Oryza sativa Japonica Group: one gene and its partner. The protein of the gene in region 2 interacts with the protein of the main gene of each other region in a pairwise test. Links are inferred from orthologs where the notes say so. Each region holds a gene or a part of one and is shown on either strand. Other genes may lie near its edges.

The links. The genes of interacting proteins can lie anywhere in the genome.
Region 1: the proteins of replication factor C subunit 2 (region 2) and pectinesterase 31 interact in binary tests that used the Arabidopsis thaliana proteins (3 or more experiments, as listed by UniProt). The link is inferred for Oryza sativa Japonica Group from reciprocal best matches to the Arabidopsis thaliana genes EMB1968 and PME31.

What each region holds. Positions count from the first base shown.
Region 1 is NC_089044.1:14,590,864-14,594,518, reverse strand, and holds pectinesterase 31, read left to right. Parts: upstream 1-773; 5' UTR 774-861; coding exon 862-1,164; intron 1,165-1,783; coding exon 1,784-1,888; intron 1,889-2,001; coding exon 2,002-2,079; intron 2,080-2,166; coding exon 2,167-2,354; intron 2,355-2,524; coding exon 2,525-2,698; intron 2,699-2,820; coding exon 2,821-2,983; 3' UTR 2,984-3,178; downstream 3,179-3,655. UniProt on the Arabidopsis thaliana protein: Acts in the modification of cell walls via demethylesterification of cell wall pectin. Acts in a blockwise manner, resulting in a cell wall rigidification.
Region 2 is NC_089046.1:3,901,194-3,904,946, forward strand, and holds the start of replication factor C subunit 2, read left to right. Parts: upstream 1-1,248; 5' UTR 1,249-1,369; coding exon 1,370-1,413; intron 1,414-1,537; coding exon 1,538-1,616; intron 1,617-1,709; coding exon 1,710-1,789; intron 1,790-2,762; coding exon 2,763-2,882; intron 2,883-2,964; coding exon 2,965-3,034; intron 3,035-3,112; coding exon 3,113-3,186; intron 3,187-3,267; coding exon 3,268-3,388; intron 3,389-3,474; coding exon 3,475-3,537; intron 3,538-3,622; coding exon 3,623-3,682; intron 3,683-3,753. UniProt on the Arabidopsis thaliana protein: May be involved in DNA replication and thus regulate cell proliferation.

The DNA.
Region 1 (3,655 bases), on a different chromosome or scaffold from region 2:
TTAGAGGTACTTTAAAACTTTCCCTAAAAAAAAGAAGAGGTACTTTAAAACGCATGATAGTTGCCTTAACTTCCATGAAATTCCTTTAATTAAACATCACCTGTCGATCATTCTCCGATCATACGTGGTACTCGAGTGATTAGCCTTAGTGATTGCACTTATCATTGACGGTCCTGCGGTAATCAAGAATAAAATAGCCTATCAGTAGTTGGCACGGGGAATCTTCGAAAGGAAATCCAAAACAAAAAACAAAGAAAAGATGACAAAACGAGACCAAACGCGGGATCAACATCACCACAGTCCAGTCAAATTCAAATCCAGCCTGTCAGCGAACGCAGCCACTGACATCGCGGGGCCCCACATATAACCAGCGGGCGGGGGGTCACCGCTTTTGAACCGTCAGCGTTGCCGCATTCGCACCGTCTCCGCCTTCATGGCCTGTTTATTTCCCGCACTAAAATTTTTCATCCCACATGAAGTATTTAAATATAGACTAAAAAGTAACTAATTATACAGATTGCGACTAATTTATGAGACGAATCTTTTAAGTCTAATTGTTTCATGATTTAACAATGGATTAATTAGACTTAATAAATCCATCTCGCGGTTTACTAACAAATTATATAATTAGTTTTTTTATTAGTGTCCGAACACTTCATATGACATACTATATAAATATAATAACCAATGTGGTACGCCAAAATTTTACGCCACAAATCTAAACACCCCCTGAGTTTGACGCCTATAAATAATAAATTCCAATTTCCAAACCCAAACCAAACCAACCCAGGCAGTCCACGCGCTAGTGTGAAACCGCCACCGCCAACCCAAACCAAACAAAGCCGCGCCGCCGATCTCGCCATGGCGCAGCAGCAGCCGCGGCGAGTTCTCCGCGTGGCGCCGCCGGGGCGAGGAGGGGCGCGCGCGGAGGCGGAGCGGGGGGAGGAGGGGGAGGCGGTGTTCGCGACGGTGCAGGCGGCGGTGGACGCGGTGCCGGTGGGGAACAGGGTGCGGACGGTGATCCGCCTCGCGCCGGGGACGTACAGGGAGCCCGTCTACGTCGCCAAGGCCAAGAACCTCGTCACCCTCTCCGGCGAGGCCGGCTCGCCCGAGGCCACCGTCATCACCTGGGACAACACCGCCACCCGCATCAAGCACTCCCAGGTTAGTACGCTCGCCTCCTGCTCGATGAAATGCCAAACTCGGAGATGGCCTTGAACAATTTTAGTGATTCTCTTCCCGATTATTGACAGGTCCCGAGAAATTGTTGGTGTATGTAGCATGCGTTGCGTAAATTATTTGGAGAGCTTTTAGAATGGTTTGTTTGTTTGATTCGTTCATCCCGTCATTGGCTATAGCTAGGATGGTGAGGCACTGACGCATTAAGAAATGTCTGGTGTGCGTTTTATTTATGTATATCCCTGTGTACTGAGCACACTGGTTTCGGATGACACCCCCATATCGATCCATTTGGAGTATGTTAATATGAATGGATAGGTGGTTTGAGCAAATTGTATGTTAAATTATTGTACCTCTGTAGTTTATTATGTGTTTATGAGGAAGGGGTAGGTGCAGAGAACTTCCAACTGAGGTTTACAAGACTTCTTCTCCAAAAGCAATGAAAGGAACTTTACATTTGAGCTTGTTAGAAAAACATTTGACGTTTTAGTAGACGAGTCCGTAACTGCCCCCTAATTTTGACTGCAGATGTTAAGTGCTGTGTACTTTGAATAGTTATGCTTATCTTTTTAATTTAATCATTCTGTCCTTTTCTCTTGTAAAGTCGTCCAGGGTTATTGGGACAGGAACGTTTGGATGCGGAACAATTATTGTGGAGGGGGAGGATTTCATCGCAGAGAATATCACATTTGAGAACTCAGCTCCTCAGGTGCTTGTCTTTGCCTTGTTCTTTTTTCTTTTGACCAAACTTGTTCTTCTTGCATAGAGAGATGCATGTGTGATGAGTGGGTGCAGAAAGCTGATGTGCCTGTTGTGGTGTAGGGGTCTGGGCAGGCAGTTGCTCTCCGAGTAACAGCAGATAGGTGTGCCTTCTACAATTGCAGGTTCCTTGGTTGGCAAGTACGCTCATTTATTCACCTCTTCATTAAATCGTTTCATTCAGCGAAGCTTTTGTTAATTTATGAGGTTGTCGAATAAAACATTCAGGACACATTATATTTACATTATGGAAAACAATACTTAAGGGACTGTTACATCGAAGGTAACTGTGACTTCATCTTCGGCAACTCTATTGCCCTGTTGGAACATTGCCATATTCATTGCAAATCAGCGGGTTACATTACTGCTCACAGCCGGAAATCCTCATCAGAAACTACTGGTTATGTGTTCTTGAGGTGAGTTGTTTCATTGTATGTTTACTTAGTCCGTTAGGCCATGCTGTTCATGGCTGAAATTTGAGTTTCTCATTGCTTGTGTAATAAGATTGACATGTAAGCTTGATCATTTTCAATGTGCCTTTCTTGCTTTTGCTTGATGTGATGCTTGGACGGATGAACACATGCAGGTGTATTATTACTGGAAATGGAGAAGCTGGATATATGTTCCTGGGTCGGCCTTGGGGACCGTTTGGAAGGGTTGTCTTTGCGCACACTTTTATGGATCGTTGTATTAAGCCTGCTGGGTGGCATAATTGGGACAGATCTGAGAATGAACGAACTGCTTGCTTCTTTGAGTACAGGTATTGGAACCATCAGTATTCAGAGATTCTTCTCTTACTAAACTTCCATATTATCTGTGGACTTGTGCTTATCGATCATTCATGAGCTACTAGAAGGCATTAACCCTTTTTTTTTTACGCAGGTGCTCAGGGCCAGGTTTCCGCCCATCAAACCGAGTGGCTTGGTGTAGACAATTGCTTGATGTTGAAGTGGAGAATTTCCTTTCTCACTCTTTCATTGATCCAGACCTTGATAGGCCTTGGCTCATCCAGATGATGGCAATAAAAGTACCAGTCTCAGCATAGTCTAATCCCAGGATTGTAGTTCATCCCTCCTCCCTAGTCTATCTTATAAATAATTTTGGAGGGTGTATTATAAGTGTAACATTTGGTCAACTTGTGCCCACGCAATTGTATTGAGGAGAGATATTTGTTGTTTTCCATGAGCCTTGTCCCTTGAGGACTATAAAGGAATACGAAATTAAATTATTTGCTCTTTCATTGACGTGATATTGTTCATGCTGCTATGAGTCATGCGGCCTTTCTATACTATGGGAATGTGTTAACATAGAGGAAATGGCATGGTCCGTCAGGTTTTAACATTTATTGTGGTACTTTGAAATGGGACATGTGGAATAATACTAGCTTTAGTACATAGTAGAAATGCCATTTTCCACCAAATTTTTACTGATACATGTTGCTTCCTGTCTACAGATCACTTTTGAATGCAGTTCATCTAGAACAAACACAGACTGAACAAGTTCGAAAAAATTGTACCAATATTTGACTGAACAATTCTGATCAGACTATGAAGGACTGGTTTGATCCAACAATGAGGTACACAAGATCCCTTGTTTTCCCTTTGAATTTGGGCATTTCTAGAGGAATTCTATATGATTTGTACCATTATTTGCAAGATTCATATGAAATTTTTGCATCTCCAGATGGGCCTAAACCTTGAGAAGCAGTACCAAACAC
Region 2 (3,753 bases):
ACAACATATATAGAAATAGAGTATGCCGGATACATTGTTCTAGGAGGGAATCACATCCGCTCTTAAGTTAATTTTTTTTTTTTGACAGAGGGAGCATATGTTTAGAACATATTTAGTTACAAAACTATAACGTTAATAGCTCCAACGTGACAATGGTGTTAGGATTTAAAGTAAAAAAACTTATATAGTTTTGTTATAGCTTCAATATTAAATATCGGGTGATTCATAGTTTCCCGATAAATTTAATGTTAAATACTATATAATTTACCTATAAAATGAGTAAAACGGAGGGCCCAGGAAAGAGAAGGCGCCTGTGGCCTAATGGATAAGGCGTCTGACTTCTAATCAGACGATTGTGGGTTCGAGTCCCACCAGGCGTGTCTTCGTTTTGGATTCTACTAATCCTATTGCAACTGTTGCTCAGTTGGATTATGGCTTATAATCGTTGTTTAATTTCAAAACCTGAGCGTAAGTTATATTTGAAAACATGTTTGATCACTAAAGAAATCAGAGGAGCACTAACCATGGTGCATTGACTTTTGCTTAATATTATTTCAACTCAAAATGATTTGCTACACCTTTTATTTTCAAAAATTTACATAACAAATTTTCAAAACACACACACAAATAGAGAAACTGTGCACCATTGGTATTTAATATCCTGTACTATTGGTGTACCTATAAAATTTAGAACAATCCATGCCATCCGTTTTAGGATAACTGTACACGATACATCATTATATATTCATATGGTAAGGAATCGCAAAATTACAATATTATAATCTTGAGAGGTCATAATCAGGAAAAAAACCGTCACCCACACATTGACAACACCAAAACACATACCCGAGAGAAGGCTAACACCAAACCGACTATCACTAGACCAACAAAGTACCTACAACCGAGATCGCTCAAAACCTATCCCTAACACTGACACCAAATCTCACCGGAAGATGTTTTTGGTATAATGGTTCTTTTGGAGCTGTTTTTTTTTGTATATACATGGGAAAGGGAGAAATGAGAGGATGACGACTGTGCTTTTAAGATAGTAATAATGTAACAGCCAAGTATGCCGACCAACTTCGAAAAAGTTTAAACAAAATTTTTAAAACTTGTTGTAAAATTTATCCAGTTTCTCGGTTTTTCACGATTTTTTTGGGGCCATCCTGCCTACCTGCCGGCCCAAAATCCTTCACTCCTCCAGACTTTGCAAAACCTCCCCACACAAAAGAACCAGAGAGAAGAGGCGGGAAGCGAAGCCGCAGCCCGCCACTCGCCTCCGCCCTCCGCGCGCGCGAACCCCTCCCTCGGCGGCGGCGACGACCAAGGCGGCGGCGGCGGCAGCGGCGCAAGAGGACGCGGTAGCCCGATGGCGCCGCTCGTGCCGTCCTCGCAGCCATGGGTGGAGAAATAGTAAGCGCCGCCCTCTCTTCCCCTCCCCCACACCATTTTCCTCCCTCAATTTGTCGATAAGCCCTCATGGATTGCCCTAGTTGCGACTGACTGACCCCGCTGCTCATCCTCCTCCCGTTCGCAGCCGGCCGAGGCAGGTGAAGGATGTCGCGCACCAGGAGGAGGTGGTCCGGGTGCTCACCACCACCCTCCAGACCGCCGACGTGAGCCGCGGGCTAAACCCTAGCTCTGTTTCTTTTTTTTTTCTCTTGTGACCCCCTGGGAGGTTTCTGATTTGTGATCTGGTCCCTTTGCAGCTTCCGCACATGCTGTTCTACGGCCCGCCTGGCACCGGGAAGACCACCACCGCGCTTGCCATTGCTTACCAGCTCTACGGGTAACTCAATTCTTGTTGGCAACTGTTTACTTGAATTTTTCTCTTTATGAGAATCTTGTTTTGGTTCGGTTGAAATTGGCTTATCTTAGTAATCTTGGAAGAGGTGGTAATTCTCAATGCAATGGGAGCATTAGATAGGCTGCGCTGGGGGTGAATCACTTAACTTTTGAGACATTAGAATTGATAACCTTCATTATCTTGGGTATTTTGTTTATTTTGGCAAATATTGGTATACATCTTTGTAGGCAGGCGTTCCAAAAGTGGGTACAATTAGTTTGATGACATGGTTGATCCTAGTCCTGCATATTACAATACTAATCGGACCACTGGATCAATGTGTTTGAATGATGTATGGTGAAATGGTAGTTCAAGTTTAAAATTTGGATTGTTGAAATGTTGAGATCTGTTATAATTTTGTTCACTCATCAGCCATTTTCATTGTTTCTGGGCTAGGTAATTTATTCTTGCATCTCTCACAGGCCCCTTTTTTCTTGTTGAGTTGTTACCACTTCACTTGCTTGATTAGAATCTCACTTGCTTGATTAGAATCTATTCGATGTGTGTAATGGTTCATGTCTTACCAATGATAATTGGAGGCGGTCAGATGTATGGAGGGAAATCTAGAGAATCAAAATTTTCATGTGGAATAGCACATATGAATTAAGGGAAAAAATAATACTGAAACAGTTTGTTAGGAGGAAATTTGATTAGATTGAGTAGTAGCGAAGTTTATTCTCTTTTTTTTTCAACTGATAATGAGCACTATAGTGATTGAGATTATCTGTCTGCCAATTTTGCTCTTCTAATATGGTGGTTACTTCCTAAATTCATTTGCAAGAAAAACCCCATTCTAATCATGACTACTAAATAATGAAATAACATTAAGAGGATATGTTTTCTGCAAATAGTGCAAGGTTGTTCTCAGTAAGTTTGGGACTCATGATAGTTTTTTCGTACTATTTGGATGATGCAGTCCAGAGCTCTACAAGTCAAGAGTTCTAGAACTTAATGCTAGTGATGATCGTGGAATTAATGTGGTGAGGACTAAGATCAAGGACTTTGCTGCTGTTGCTGTTGGTTCTGCACGAAAAGGGTAATTTAACCAAAACTAGGGACCTTTCAGTTTCCATCTGTAGTTGCATTCTTGACTAGTTTGTTTTTGCGATGGCCTTCAGCGGTTATCCCTGCCCACCATACAAGATTATTATACTAGATGAAGCAGATTCGATGACAGAAGATGCCCAGGTATAGACAACAGGCAGAACGCTAAAAGCCTTGTTGCTGCAGAACCGTGCGTTGATGATGTCTTATATCTGTCTGTAGAATGCTTTAAGGCGTACTATGGAGACTTACTCCAAAGTGACAAGATTCTTTTTCATATGCAATTACATCAGCAGGTATTAGTTTGTTTCTCCTTTTTTCCCCCTGTGGATCTTTATTTGAGTTTATGTAATTCATTATCCTAATGTGTAATACAGGATAATAGAACCACTTGCATCAAGATGTGCAAAGTTTAGATTCAAGCCTCTTTCAGAAGAAGTAATGAGCAATCGCATTTTGCATATATGCAATGAAGAAGGGCTCAGTCTTGATGCTCAGGTAACTGTACTGCATTCACTTCAAAATCTAAATCTACATTTAAATATCCGCATTTTTGCTAACACTCTTTTTATTTTTCATAATAGGCATTGGCTACACTAAGCACCATCTCTAATGGTGACCTCCGCCGTGCTATAACCTATCTTCAGGTATGGTTTATCTAGTTTGGCGTTTGCATTATGTGGTTTATTTATATTAATCTTAATTTAATATACCTTTTGTTTTTTGTTGCAGAGCGCTGCTCGCTTATTTGGATCTTCTATTTCTTCTACTGACTTGATTAGTGTTTCAGGGGTACATTACCACTCATTTCTGTTCCCTTGCAAATGCCTAAACTTACATGTGTCATTTATTTTGCTATTCTA